Linked DNA regions of Tamandua tetradactyla. The protein of the gene in region 1 binds, or shares a complex with, the protein of each later gene. Links are inferred from orthologs where the notes say so. Each region holds a gene or a part of one and is shown on either strand. Other genes may lie near its edges.

Region 1 (8,043 bases):
AACATTCCTTGCACTTCAAATTATGGGGTGTGGCAGGGAATGCAAGTTTTCAAATGATTTGGGGCAACACTGTTGTTTCCAGTATGCATGATGTTTTTCTTACAGCTTACTGACACCATCCTTCAGGTGACACTGGTAGCACAGAGAACATCAATTATTACAGACAGGCAGTATTACGTGACCATTTAAATGACACAGGATATAGAATAAGTCAGAAGACTAACGGTTGAAAACTGACTGGTAACATCAACACTCCTACTTCTACACTTCAGAGAAACTGAGGCCAAGAGACGTAAGGTTCAAGTTCAGAGCGATGGCACCAGAACATCCCTTCACTCAGGTGCCCGGCTCCAGGTCCCTAGAGCAGTCTGTTTATGCCCTTCCACCACCCTGAGGAGACCCACATAAACCCAGAGGGTGACTTGAATTCAGACTCAGCAAAAGCTTCTAATTAAGGTCTATGATATTAATAAGACGAGGACAAGCGTTCCCAATGACATTCATGATGAATTCAATCTACAAACACCAAATTAATAAGTAAAACATAAGACCTCTGACAAGTCCATTCCAATAAATAGGTGGCAAAAAAAAAAGTTTTAATAGTGGGGACATATTAACAAAAAGTTGTTTTTAAAACAAGAATTACCTTAAGGAAATGGCTTATAACAATTCTGCAATGACACAATTAGTGCTTGACTTGAATTTTCAAAGCTATGTAACTTGTTCAATCATTTCAGACACAGATAATATAGGTACCCAGCATAGTAAAGGATCCATTCGCTTGCAAAACACTACCTTAAAAGCCTCAGAGAAAATCTGCAGACATAGCAGCTAGAAGCAAGAAAGCATTTTCCAAACATGCTTATGAAGACCAGAAAGTCAATTTTTCACTGCCCAAACTGAAATTCATTCTGGTAACACCTCTTCATCCTTTCCTCACTTTCCAGACCACAGTACTTCAGGTTTCCTACAGCTTCAAAATGTACCCTCTGGGCATTTTTCCTGAATTTCAATTCACCTTCCTTTAAGGCCCATCCCTACTTTCTTTCCAACATCTTTACTCCCCAAAGGACTCCTGACACTGTAGCCCTTAAGGGACACTCAGGGAGTGAGCAAGGGCCTTCCTAAAATATCCCACAGAAAGGCCTCAGACTGCATAATGCTAATATCACTCAGTTACCAAGAGGTTCACTTAAATGTGAATGGGTATGAGGTCAGAATCAGTTTTATTCCAAAGATAATTAAGCTTCCTGGTCCCTTCCAAGGAACATGCTCTCACAGCCAGTCCAATTTCTGTAAAATTGGCAAAATTATTTTTTTTCTTCTTCAAGAGGCATCCCCTCCCTCCGAATTACATAAGTGTCAAGCCCCAAACTTACATTCTTCCCTCCTCTGGATGAAAAACTCCTATCTAACCCACTACAGCATGCCACTGCTCAGGTCAGGATCACCAATGAATCAACAATTTGGTTGTTGGTCTTGGTTTCCAAACAAATCTAATTAAATTAGTAACCAGCACCACCACTACAGGAAAGAGAACTCTTCAAGTATTCTTCTTACCTGGATAATCCTAAAACTGGTTTCCAGAATCTATTTTAGATCATAATAATATCAAATGCTTTAAAATGAGCTTTTGGAAAGACACTGAAATTGTAGGGACCCTCTGGATTTGTTGTTTTTCTTTGAGAGATCCCTTCAGATGGCCAGCAAAGGACAAATGAGCTTTGATCCAAGGCGATGAACCTCACTTAAGCCCCCTAAAAATTGTCAGGAGAACAGGTTAAAATGCAGACATCTGAGTCCCACCCCGGAGTCTTCAGGTCGAAGGTGGGGCCCAGGGGGCTGCTGCGAGGTCTCGGGAAGGTTGTAGGCTGAATGAACAGAGCAGGTTGGTGGCAGCTGCCGCGGCTCCACCACTGTGTGACCTTGAGGCAGAGAGAACTAGGGTTCATTTAGAGAAAACATAAAATAACGTGAAGAGGGCAGGGACAGTGAGAGGAGAAGCGGAACTCGACGCACAGCAGCGCAGGTGGTGTCCAATCCACGGAATCTGTTAGGGTGTGGCTGGGCACTACGGCTCCACCGGAAATCAAGTTGCAGAGTTCATGTGCGAGGGTCTCAGGAAAGCAAAGGTACACAGGTTCGTCTCGCCCAGAAGTCACGTCTCATTTTAATCTCGAGTCCGACAGGGGCAGCATCAACCCGGGGCTAGGGAGTATGAGCCCAGGCTAGACCCCACCCGCCGCCCTCCCGCTCGCGTCCCTGCGAGAAGAGGGTCTCGGCACACAAAGCCAGGGCCGGGTTGTGGGAAGGTGGGACGAGCACAATTCGGGCGAGCGGAGCAAAGGAGAGAAGAAGACCACAGACTCCAGGTCGTGACAGAGAAAAATAGGGGAGGAGGGGCGTCACCCACTCGGCAACTCTTTATTCCCAGGTGAAGGGCGGAGGGCGGCGAGGCGGCATGTAGCCCCCAGGTCCCGGTGAAAGGGGTCAGAAAGGGGGAATGTGGCTCCCGCCTATTTCCTCCGGTTCCCCCTCCCCCACCCACTGAGCCGGGATGCGGCGACCCCCGCCCACTCGCCCGCAGGAGGGCTCCGCCGCCCGCGCGCCCGCCCCTGGGGCTGCATTCGCGACCCCCAGCAGCTCCCCCGCCTGAGACACGACTGGGGTCCGGCCGCAGGAAATGGCGGGGCGCCCGGCGCGCGCGGGAAGCACCGGCTGCTGGGGGCGGCTCCGCCCTGCAGGGTCGCAGGGGGCACCCCGGGGCATAGCGGGACACCCCGACCGGCCGGCTGCCCCATCCCTTCCCCGATTTGGACCCCCAGGCCGGCCGCGCGGGTCCCCCGGCGTCTCACCGCCTTCATGGCGGAGGCCATGTCGTCGTAGCGCTCCGCCTGCTCGGCCAGCCGCGCCCGCTGCAGCAGCTGCTCCCGGTCCCCCATGTCGCTACGGCTCGGTCTCGCCTCGCGTCCCGCACCGCTCGCCCACTCTCGGTTCGCCGCGGAGGCCGCCGCCGCGCACGCGCACTGGCTCCCGGCCGCCGAGGGAGGCTGAGACCGCGCCGCCGCCCGCGCCCGCTCGCTGGCTAGTCCCGCGCGCAGTGGCTTCGCGTCGCGAACACCGCGGAGGGAGGAGAGGCGGGCGTGCCGAGGGGGAGGGGAGGATGGGAGGGCGCCTGCGCAGTGGGAGCTGCTGGGCCGGGCGGCGGGGAGCGGCGAGAGTGGGAGGGGGGAAGGGCGAGCTGGCCCTAACGGTCTATTTCAAGGTGACGTCACCTACTATAAATAGCCGCCACCGCGGCCCCGCCCGAGAGCCGCGCAGGCGCCCTGCGAGTGCTGCATTTTACCGCCGCAGAGGTGGAGGTGGGAGCTGGGTGAACCGGTTGGAGACTGCGGAGCCGGAGGGCTGGGTGTGGTGATGGCGGCTGCCTAGGCGGCGCGTTGCCACAAACTCATCCTGCAAAGCGCGCCTGAATGCACGTTAGCGGCCTGGCCTGAGGAGGGTCCAAAACGCAAATAAACCTCCTGCGTGGAGAAGCCGGGAGGGCGTACGCCCGGAGGGGTGGGGCGGATTCGCCCCCGCCCCCGTAGCCGCAGCAGCGTGGAGTCCCTCCCGGCCCCTGGGTTGCACGGGCCACACCCTGGCGGTATCGAGCCCCGCCCTTGGGAACCCCCTTACCACACTACCACAACCGCCACCACCACACACGCGCAATCCTGGGCTGCAGAGCTGAGCTCCCACCCTGAGAGGTGGCGTCCGGCCTCACAGTCACGACGCCCTTGCAGGGAACTGGCCTAGTGCTGGGACGTCTACAGGCGTTATTGTATTTAATACGCACCACCCACCCTTGTCTGTGGACGCGGCTGGTCTCCCCATTTTTCAGTTGTGGAGCCTGAGGCAACGTGAAGTTAGTGACTTGCTGAAGGTTGCACAGCCGTCCAGTGATAGGGCCAGGATAAGGGTGCAAGCTCAGGCAAGGAAGGGGTCGGCCAGTCACTGAGCTCCTTTCAGTCATGGCATTCGGTGCGGCTTCCAGGCAAGCCGGGAAAACCTCGCTGACCAAAGCATGCCGGCCACGTACAATATATATGGCAAGGGCAGCGCGGAAGAAGAGGCCTTAGGCTTTCTGAAAGTTCTGTTGAGCACCTGCTGCATATTTAGCACTGAGAGGATAGGGTAGCTACAGGAATGAGTAATATATACCCCTGCCGCTAAGCAGCACAGATCTAAATATGCGAGAATAGGTAATCTGGGCCTTGAGAGGGAGGGAAGAGGTATTGGGGCGGGGGGGCGTACAGTATGGACAAAGACTTGACTTGGCAGAGAGGATAAAGACAAAAGAGATAGTGAAAAGAGACGCTTGCCATTGGGAATGAGGTTGGGTAGGGTGAGATTATAGAGTGTTTTAAATGCCAGATTGAAGATTTGAGACTTGATTCTTCGGAGCTACAGAGGTAACAGAAGTCATGTTTCTGGCCAGGAATCTGGCTTCAGAAAGTAACATGCATTAGAAGGGAAAGGGAGGGACTGAAGACTGAACCGTTTCTGGAACTCGGTTTTAGCATCTGAAAAATTGGACTTGAAGGACTGTTAAAGGACTGAAACATAGAAATCCTCATTCTGAAATGTCACGGTCACTGCTGTCCAACTCCTTATCCTGCATAAAGAGAAACTGAGTCTCAGAAGGAGAGGCTGGCTCCAGTTTGTGCTGTGAGTGAGCAGATCTGGAGCCTCCACACAGGTCTCCAGCCACCCAGCCCTCCTCCTCTGGTGCTAAAAGGAGGCTTGGCACCCATAACGCAGGATTAAGTATGGGTCTGGGGAAGAGCCACTCCCCACGCTTCACCCGTGTTTTGAAGAGTCACCTTTGCTGACTAGAAATGGAATCCAGGTTAGCAAACCAGGCTGTTCTTTCCCCTCGTGAATATCTTTAAAGAGTATGATAGCTCGTAATTAATCTTCCACCCCATCTAGCAGAGAAGGCGCTCTGAGAGGCAGGGCCAGGGCAGGATGAGGACGGTATGGTGAAACTCTGGTTCCTTCCAGCCTTTAGAGGCTATTGTTTTCCAGATCATGCTGGACTGAGAGTGATTTCAAAACAATGAGAAATAGGTAGAGCTGAAACAGTCTAAACAGTTGATTTTGACATTCCTAAATTACACTTTGGTTCTTCCAGAAAGCCTTTCTTTCCTTCTCACCAAACTTCTCTGTCTTCACTTCTTCACCTCCCACCCAGCCCTCAGCCCACTGTACTCTGGCTTCTACCCCCTCTCCACCCAGATGACCCTCGCTGAGACCACCAATGGCCTCCTTGTTGCCAAATCCAAGGATGCTTTGGAGTCTTCACTTTCCTGACCCACAACGGCTCACCCCTCCTTCGAACACTCACCTCTTAGCTTTCATGACCCTGCACTCTCCTGGTTTCTCCTCAACTGTTCTGGCCACTCCTTTTCTGTTTCCTGTGTGAGTTTGTCTTCTAGGCCCACCGTGAAATGCAGGGGTTCCTCAAGGCTTCGTCCCAGGCCCTCTCCTCTTTCCATTCTGCCCATTCTGGGTGACCTTGTCCAACCCCACTCTTGAAAGGAAAGGAAGATTTACCATGTTCCTAGCATCAGGTAAGGGGTTTTGCAGAGATGGGCATATTTTTTTTACTTCAAGATACCCTTGAAGTAAAAGGCAATTTCCACCCCCATTTTACAGATGAGGAAACTGGCTCAGAGATGTTCCCTGACTTGAAGAAAGTCGCCCAGCTGGTAATCAACAGAGCCAGGATTCAAATTCAAGTCCATCAGACTCCTAAGCCTGATGGCCCCACACTGCCTTTTGGTGTTAGCCAAAAAGGGCTCAAGGTATGACTCCCCTTTTGGAGTCATTTGGATTATGAAAAGCACACATAAGCCTCCTTCTTGTAGCCTGCATCTTACCAGCATCTTCCCCCTCAGGGAAGAGAGCTGCCAGCTCCCCCAAAGCCTTATAAATCAAAGACCAGTGGGGTGTGCCCTGGATGGAGCACCTACTGCCAGGGCTCCAAGCCTGATCAATAAACAAGCATTTGACCAGCTCCAAAGACAGTCCATGAGTGAAGTGAAGGGGGCTGACAATATCCAACACCATGTTGTTCCAGGGCCCGAAGCAGGCCCAGGGTAGGGGCCAGGCTGGAGCTTTGCCTGGGACAGGGGCTTTTTCCGGGAACAGAGCAATGCCTCCGCTATCCCCCGGCTGGCTAAGAAAGTATGTGTGTGAGGGGGGAGGAGGGTAGAAAGAAGCTAGTTCTGGACTTGGATTCAAATCCTACCCCACCAGTTACCAGCCCTCTCTGAGTCTGTTTTCTCTCTTGCATACTCGCGCTAACCACACTTATCTCTTGGGGTTATTGTGGGATCGGTGGCATAATGCCAGCACATGAAAGCACCCGCCATCACTGCCGTATAATAATCCCTTGCTCCTGAGTCAGTGATAAAGATGCTTCTCATGTAGGACTTGTTTTCTGAAGCATTGCCAGAACCCTCAGCCGGAGACCTGTGAATAGGTGACCCAGAAAAGGCACGTCCTGTTTTTTTTGTGGGTTTTTTTTTTTACACCCTCGGGTACTCTGGGACACTCTGAGTTCCCTCAGAAGTCTGGATACCAAGGAACATATTACAAAGAAGACCTTGTGTTGTTGTGGAGAGGCAGGTGTTCATACCCTTGGCCTGGATGCCATCGCCCAGGGAGTCGGGTACCCAGATAGGATTTTAATTTTTTTTTTCCCCAAACGCACCAAAGTGAACTTTCTAATCCTGAGCCAACGATAATAATGGCATGAGCAGCAACTATTATATGGATGAGGAAATTAAGAACTAGAGGAATCAGACTTGCTCTGTGGTCCAGGCAGCCACCCATGGTCTCCCCAGCTCACACTCGCTTTCTGTTCATTCGCTTTGGCCCTAGTGTCCTTTTGCTGATACCAAATTCCACCCCCGTATCCAAGATGAGCCTGAGCACACAGATTTCTGGATCTATCCAAAGCCTTTCACTATTCTTTCAAAGCCCGATCTGGGAGCAGATTGACTCCCAAGGCAGCTCTTGGCATTAAGAAGTGAGAAAATGTCCTGGTAGCTGCCATCTGCAAGCCGGTGGAGCTTGGGGGCCCCCCCTTTGCAGCACCCGCCCTCTTCAAACGTGTTCACAGGAGCTTGGCTCTGGAGAAGAAGGCAAAGCTGTCACCTATGGAATCCCAGTGACTACAAGGGCGAAAGGGGTTTGCGCTTTAAGCCCTGCAGATGACCCAGGAGCTTGTGTTTCTTAGCCTGAATTTTCTAGGTGGTTTGCTGCAAGCTTCTCCTTGATTCTCACTGGGTGAGCCTAGGCAAGGAAGGGAAAGCTGGAGGACAGTGCCAGAGAGCCCCATAACTTCCTCTCTCTGAATCTTTGGATTTCTTATCTGTAAAATGGGCAGCTACACTGGCAGATGGCAGAATCCTTTCTTTTTCCAGTTCTGAAGGTCTAGGGCATTTCACCATTGTGAGGTCAGCAAACAATGGCGTGACAACTCAAGAGGATGCAAGTGGGATGTTTCAGAGGGCAAGTGTTTGGATTGTGTCCTTACATGAAGGGTGATTCCATAGCAGCAGGCCACAGGGTAGCAGTTTGCTCCCCCTTTGTTTAGAAGAAGTTGAGATAATTGTTCCCGTTCTTCACAGATGAGGAAACAGGCCCAGAGAGGTATGTGAGTTGCCTAAATGCAGCCCAGAGAGCAAGGGGGAGGGTCTTCCAGCTCCACCTTTGTTTCCACTGCTGCCCTTACCTTCTGAGAACCCAACAGCATTCTTTTGGTTGTTGAGCTGTTAGAAGAACCAAAGTGGCGGTAGACTGCTGGGTAAACCTTACTCTGAGAAGTAAGGTAGAGGGTCTCTGAGTTTTCACCAAGGTTCCCTGCCAAGCAACTTTGCTTAAAAAAACCCATCTTTTCCTTCCTAGTTTGTCAGTAGGAGGTGAGCAGATTGCTACAGCCTTCTGTCTTCTTCCAGCCAACACTGGCAGGCTGGCCCCAACTCAGGAAAC
Region 2 (7,164 bases), on another chromosome or scaffold:
CCAAATCTTTTCCACTTTTTTTGTTTGGATTCTTAACTTTTTTATTGTGAAATATGACATATATACAAAAAAGCAATAAATTTCCAAGTACATCTTAACAAGTAGTTGTCAAACAGATTTTAAAGTATGGTATGGGTTACAGTTCCACAAGTTTTTGTTTTGTTTTTTTCTTTTAGCTGCTCTAAGAGACCAACAGAAATATCAATATAATGATTCAGCAGTCATACTCATTTGTTAAATACTACCTTCTGCCTTCTCTGTTTTACTCCTCCTTCTCTTTAAATAACATTGTTCTAGTTTGCTGGCTGCTGGAATGCAATATACCAGGAACAGAATGGCTTTCAAAAATGGGAATTTAATGAGTTGCTAGTTTACAGTTCTAAGGCCAAGAAAATGTCCCAGTTAAAATAAGTCTATAGGAATGTCCAATCAAAGGCATCCAGGGAAGGATACCTTGGTTCAAGAAGGCCAGTCAGAGTCTCTCTCTCAAGTGAGAAGGCACATGGCGAACACAGTCAGGGTTTCTCTCTCGTCTGGAAGGGCACATGGCGAATATGGCGTCATCTGCTACCTTTCTCTCCTGGCTTTCTGTTTCATGAAGCTCCCCAGGAGGCATTTTCCTTCTTCATCTCCAAAGGTCGCTAGCTGGTGGGCTCTCTGCTTCTCATTGCTATGTTGTTCTGCTCTCTCAGAATCACTCATTTTCCAAAGTGTTACTTCTTTTGTAGAACTCCAGAAACTAATCAAGGCCCACCCAAATGGGTGGAGACACATTTCCCCCAATCCAGTTTAACAACCATGCTTGATTGGGTTATCTCCAGGGAGATGATCTAATTACAGATTCAAACATATGGTATTGAATAGGGATTATTCTGCCTTTACGAAATGGGATCCAGATTAAAACATGGCTTTTCTAGGGGACATACATCCTTTCAAACCAGCACAAACATATATATATATATATATATAAGCACTAAATTTCAAAATACAACACAGCATTTAGTTGTAGAACTGATTTCAGAGTTTAGTATAGGCTTAAAATTCCACAGTTTTAGGTTTTTATTTCTAGCTGCTGTAAGGTACTGGAGGCTAAAAGAAATAGCAGTATAATGATTCAGCACTGATTAGATTTTAATATGCAATTATCAGCCCAGTAACAACTACCAAAATGCTCACAAAATGTTAGAATTCCTTTAAAAACAGCTATTACATATTCTTCTTTTGCATAAAATATGCATTAGTGTCAACTGTTTCCTCATGATCAAAATCAGTCTATATAAGAAGAGATGATACAAATCAGTAAGTAAGAGAACTAGTAATGAACAAATGGTAAGAAAGAGACTTTTTGTTGACAGTAAAGAAGAAAGAGCACCTTTCTGAAAACAAGTCCTTCAGCACTGAGGAGACATGAAATTATGTGCTACACAGTGATGCATTATCTGTGAAACTTGTCTTGACCTGTGAGAGGAAGTAAAGTACTTTCTCGTAGCTAAATCAGACCTTTGGGAAGGTATAAATTTTAGGCTTTAGTAGCGCATAAATAGTGCAACATTGTAAAATGATCTTAAAAATTCTCAGATGTACAATAAAGTTTCTAAACCATTGATTTTAAGCAGTCTCAAAAACACCCTGATCTTTTTAACCCAGCCCTTTCTACATGTCCAGCTTGTGCCAAATATGCACCTCCTGCAACTATAGACCTTTTGGCTCCACACATCTTCATGAGGCTCTCTAATTTCTGTTACTTGTAGGTTAATAAATAAAAAGAATGGTTTGTACCATTTCATTGAGACCGTAGCTTTTCACAGTCTGGGTTCATCTTATTTGGTATTGGTGGCCCTTCATTTACAGAGTGGCTGCCAGGCACACAAATGAATAGAGCACACGCAGTTGGCCCCAAAGCTTAAAGTACTCATGGTCAGATAAATCAAAATATGCCATGTATTATAAGGAAAGACTTCATTCCTCCAGAGGGAAAGAACAGTCAAATGCTTTACACTTACAAATGGTGTTTTCCACACAGACTGAGGGGCTTTGTGGAGATTTAACACCAACTGAAAGGATTACTATATTAATTTTCTAGCACAGAATGCAGTGTACCAGAAATTGAATGCCTTATTTAAAGGGGAACTCAATAAGTTATCTGCTTACAGCTCTAAGGAAGTGAAGGTGAACAAATTTAGCCACCAAGCAAGAGGTCACCTAAACTTAAGAATGGACAATGGGTCAGGAACACCTCCGCCAGCGAGGCGGTCACATGGCCGGCATCCACTGGTCCCCTGCTCCCAGGCCCCGTTGCCCTCCGTTCCTCTGGGGATGGGATTCCCTCACCTGGCCTCTCTGAGATGGTTTCTGTCAACCCCCCAACCCCATCCCACCTCTCTCCAGGTTCTGCTTTTCGTAATATCTCATGGCAATGTCTTCTGGGCTGCAAGCACCTCCAAAGATCCATGTCTGTGTCTTCCACATGTCCCCATCTGTGTCAGTCTTTTCCACTTTTAAGTTTTTTAGTATTAAATTCTAAATTTGAGAGCAAGTGGGTAATTGAAGATAAGGCTATTCTTGTCAACTTTTTTTGAAAATGTTTTCTTAGCTTGATTTAAGACATTTTCATCCCCCACCCTTAGTAATAATAACTAAGAGGCAATATACATCTCCATGAAAACAGCAGGTGAGCTTATGGTTTACACTGTTTTTGTATTCAGAAGTTAGGGTTGTCAGAATCCCAGTTTTAAGGTTCATTTCAAATGCTGCATCTTCAATGAAGTTTTTCCTCATTTCCTCATTCTAACTCATGTGATCTCATCACTTTCTTAAAGTACATAGCAATTTGTGCCTCTCCCAAAACATTTGTAGTGTTCCATTATCTAGTATCTTTATATTCTCTTCCTTGACTACAAGAGCCTAGAGGTTATGGATTATGTCTGACTACTTTTTTGTACCCTGTATTTTGTACTTAGTATTGTGATTACATTGCACGTATTAGGTGTTATATAAATATTTTATCTCAGTTGCCCTATTAAATTGAAATACTTCCAAATTCTTTGTTTTTAATTTCACAGCTTAATTTTGCCTAAATAGTTATCTCCGTAAATCAGAGATCTTAAATGTACAAGCTGAATATTCATACTGGGGACACTTTCCACTTTTGAAAGCTAAAGCCCAATTCTATAATTGTAATTCTGTAATGTTTACATTTTGCACACCATATATTTTCTTTAAGGGCAGAAAGAAATGTGCAGAGCAGGGCAACAAATTCCAAGTCAAATAGATTCTTAACATTCTACAGAACCACTCAGTAAATTCTACAAGAAGATGTAGAATTTTTTGTTTTAGTTTATGTGAAAAGGAGGGATACATCTACATGCGGTTCAATATAAGGTGCTCTAAATATGAGGTTTTGTGTCAATTTACCTTGTACTCCAGTGACCCCTGGGTCCATTTCCACCCTACTTTGACACCATGACCTTTTTTTTTTTCCCCATTCTGTTTTTCTTTTATAAAAATCGTTTTTTTCTTAGACTGGGAGAGGCTCCTTCTTGACACAGCTCTTCCTGTTTTGTACCCCTTAAATACTACTAGTCTTAGAAGGGATGTGGGCCAGCTGTGGTTTATGTGAGTTGTTCTCAACAAGCAATAGTGTCTGTCTGTCTCCCTGTCTTTTTCTATGTATATACATTATTTTCTATTTCATATACCCAGTAATTTATCTTTAGGCATTTGACTTTTACCTAGAAGAATTATTTGTTATGTATTAGAGGAGATTGTGGTTCTACAATAGTATGGATCTTACTGTTGCTGCAGTGATTTGAAGTAGTCATCTTTCTTATACCATTATAATAATGTCTTGCTTTCCTGGGGAAATAGAAAACTTCCTTCATTTAAAATTTTATGTACCTGTGTCTTGTTTGGAGTCACCATATCGTATAATGCAGCAATAATTATGTCACTGACAACAAGTTTGTGAGATATTTATTATTCTCATTTTACAGATGAGGAAACTGAGGCTTGGTGAAGTTATGAAACTTGTCCAAAGTCACACAGCTTGTAAAGGGCACAGTCAACATTCAGAGCCAGGTCTGTCCAACTACAAAACTTTTAATCATGGCCATGAAACTTTGAAATAGCTGTGAGGTATCAACCTATATAATTTATTTTGGTATTCATTTTGCTTAACTGTTCTTTAACCTTTATTGACATTTTTTTAATGGTGTTTTTTTGGTCCTTCATAATTTTACTTGTCTTTTAAATATTGTGAAAAGCAAGATAGTAATTAGAATCTGGGCTCCAAATCCAGATTACCTGGGATGAATACTAGTTTCCCCATGGTGGTAGTTAGGTGTCAGTTTGGCCAGGTGCCTAGTTCTGTTGCTGTGAAATGGAACTATTAACATTTGAAACTCGTCTATGGCTGATTACGTCTGCAGTTGGCTAGAGTGCCTTCACAATGAGTGATGTTTAATTTTTTAAATTTAATTTATTTTGTATGATCAAACCAAAACAACATACAAGCATGAACATTCTTAACATATGAACATTCTGTGTATGGTGTACAGTCAATGGCTCACAATATCAGAGTGATGTTTAATTTAATTAGCTAGCAGCTTAAAAGGGAAAGGGCAGAAGAGAGCTCAGTGCAGCACAGCTGCAGCAGCTCAGCGTACCTCATCTCAGCCCTCGCAGCTCAGCCCAGATGTTTGGCGATGCAAAAAGAAATAGCCCTGGGGAAAGCTGTTGGAACCCCAAAGCTGGAAGAGAAGGCTGGCAGACATCACCCTGTGCCTTCCAGTGTAAGAGAAAACCTCAGGTGAAAGTTAGCTGCCTTTCCTCTGAAGAACTATAAATTTTTTACTAAATAAATCCTGTTTTATCAAAAGCCAGTCCATCTCTGGTGTGTTGCATTCTGGCAGCTTTGGCAGACTAAAACACCCACTTAACTTGTTGTGTGACATTAGGAAAGTTACTTTTCTGTACCTTAGTTTTCCTCTTTGTAAAATTGTAATAGGATTGTTGTGAAGATTAAAAGATTTAATATGTACAAAACACTTATTACAGTGCCTGACACATAGTAGGCCTTCAATAAATGTAACTATTATTACTGTTTTCATCTCCTAATAGCCAGTAAATCAAATCATTATTTTCAATTCTCTGCTAGGAAATTTGGGTAAGGCAAAGTTCAGACAGCAGCATTAGGTCTCACAAAACTTGTGTAAGCCAAAATTAAATTTGAATAAGTTATATGTAAGGGGAATCATTAAACTTCTGATTAAGTTCAGCTCTACTGTAAAACATTGGCAACTGCTTTTTGGTCACACATGTATGAGATCTTGCATGTATTGGAACCATGCATGCATAAGCCCACTAAAAATATCCTTTCAGCCTAATAAGAGAATTCATTATATCTGAACACTGCATTATGAATATATTTCTTTTTTATTCTTGTAAGCACATATATTCAGAATGAATGTCTGCATTTTCAGGTGGCTTGTAAGGAGATGTTGTTTTCGCAGTATTGACAGTTACCAGGAACTAGAAACTCTCATGTATTATGTACATAATACTTCTTGCAGGCTTGGTATCAGAACTTATACCATGATGAATGTATATCACTGCCTGACCCCTAAATCAGTGGGATCAAACTCAGCCATGTACTCATCTTCACTTAGACTTGGTTGTCGTAGCTGTCCAACTATTGCTACAATTAAAGTAAGATCCCTGTGATTATAGTTATAACTAGTGACTAGTTATAAGTTTATATCAATTGCAGAAATATCCTTGACTGGGAAATAATTTCAGTCAAGATATGCACAAATTCAGAAACTATTGTTTAGAGAATGAGATTTATCTTGCATATGAGGCCAGGATCTCTGCAGCTTTTAATCTATGCATGCATTTAGATTTTCCCTTTATTTTATGATATAGCCTCCTCCTAACATTCAATATAGTATATATTTTGAGTTATTTAGATTTTTGAAATCATCGTTCAATTAATTTATTTTTCCATAGAAGTCTGAAGTCTGTTAGATTTAATTTTTTTTTTTTTTATTTTAACATGGACAGGCACTAGGAATCGAACCCGGGTCCTCTGGCGTGCTGAGCCACTGTGGCCAACCCTAGATTTAATTTTTAATTATCTTATATTTTGTTATTATTTCTGTTTACTGATGTGAACTCTTTTTTGGTATATAGGTCTATTATGTTCAACCACCTTACTGAATTCTTTTATTAATTCTAATAATTTATGAATGCTTTTAGATTTTCTATGTAGTTAACTATTGTGAATGAGAATTTTTTTCCTTTCCGATGCTTCCACCTTTTATTTCTTTTTCTTGAATTATTTATGCTTGCCTTATTTTATGAGTTCCAATGTAACTATAAAAGGTGGACATCCTTGGTGTACCTAAGATTTTAAAAGAAATGCTTGTTATGTTTTGTCATTAAGCATGTTGTTTGCTTGATTCCCAGACCATGCACTGCACCCCGCCCCCCAAAAGAAGAGTAATGTTTGGTATAGGTTTGTGGTAGATAGTATTTGTAGGTTAAAGAAGTTTCTGTTTCTAGTTGACAAAGATTATTTTTGCATGTGAAAAATGAGTATTGAGTTTTATATTTGATACTTTTTCTGCATTTTTTGGAATGTTCATACAGTTTTCCCTGTTTATTCTGTTAATATGATGAATGACATTTATAGGTTTTCTAATGATGAATGATCTTTGCATTGCTGGAATGAACCTAACTTTGTCACGATGATCTTTTTTTTATGTGCAACTGGATTTAGTTCATTAATATTTTGTGTAAGATTTTACACCTATGTTTACAACTTGGCCTATTTTTTATTCATTTTTTAAAATTTTTATTAATAAAACCAGTCATCATACAATATGAACATTCTTTTTTAATCACATTGTTGTATATTTATCATCATGATCATTTCTTAGAACATTTGCATAAATTCAGAAAAAGAAATAAAGCAGAAAAAAGAAATTCATGCATACCATACTCCTTACCCCTTCCATTCATTGATCACTGACATTTCCATCTACTCTATTTTGACATTTGTTCCCCCATTATTTATTTATTTTTAATCCATATGTTTTACTCATCTGTTGATAAGGTAGATAAAAGGAGCATCAGACACAAGGTTTTCACAATCACACAGTCACA

The links. Proteins that work in one complex are often made in the same cells at the same time.
Region 2: the proteins of YWHAH (region 1) and NUMB are in contact, whole or in part, in a crystal structure (PDB 5YQG), measured with the Mus musculus proteins. The link is inferred for Tamandua tetradactyla from reciprocal best matches to the Homo sapiens genes YWHAH and NUMB. Residues at the interface, in NP_035868.1 of Mus musculus: Arg57, Arg132, Tyr133, Leu177, Asn178, Val181, Glu185, Ile222, Leu225, Asn229; in NP_001129547.1 of Mus musculus: Gln274, Gly275, Ser276, Phe277.

The regions. Positions count from the first base shown.
Region 1 is NC_135331.1:30,700,063-30,708,105, forward strand, and holds the start of YWHAH (14-3-3 protein eta), read right to left. Parts: upstream 3,064-8,043; 5' UTR 2,943-3,063; coding exon 2,856-2,942; intron 2,528-2,855; exon of another isoform or gene 1-2,527. UniProt on the Homo sapiens protein: Adapter protein implicated in the regulation of a large spectrum of both general and specialized signaling pathways. Binds to a large number of partners, usually by recognition of a phosphoserine or phosphothreonine motif.
Region 2 is NC_135338.1:32,165,255-32,172,418, reverse strand, and holds the start of NUMB (protein numb homolog), read left to right. Parts: upstream 1-4,103; 5' UTR 4,104-4,693; coding exon 4,694-4,807; intron 4,808-7,164. UniProt on the Homo sapiens protein: Regulates clathrin-mediated receptor endocytosis. Plays a role in the process of neurogenesis.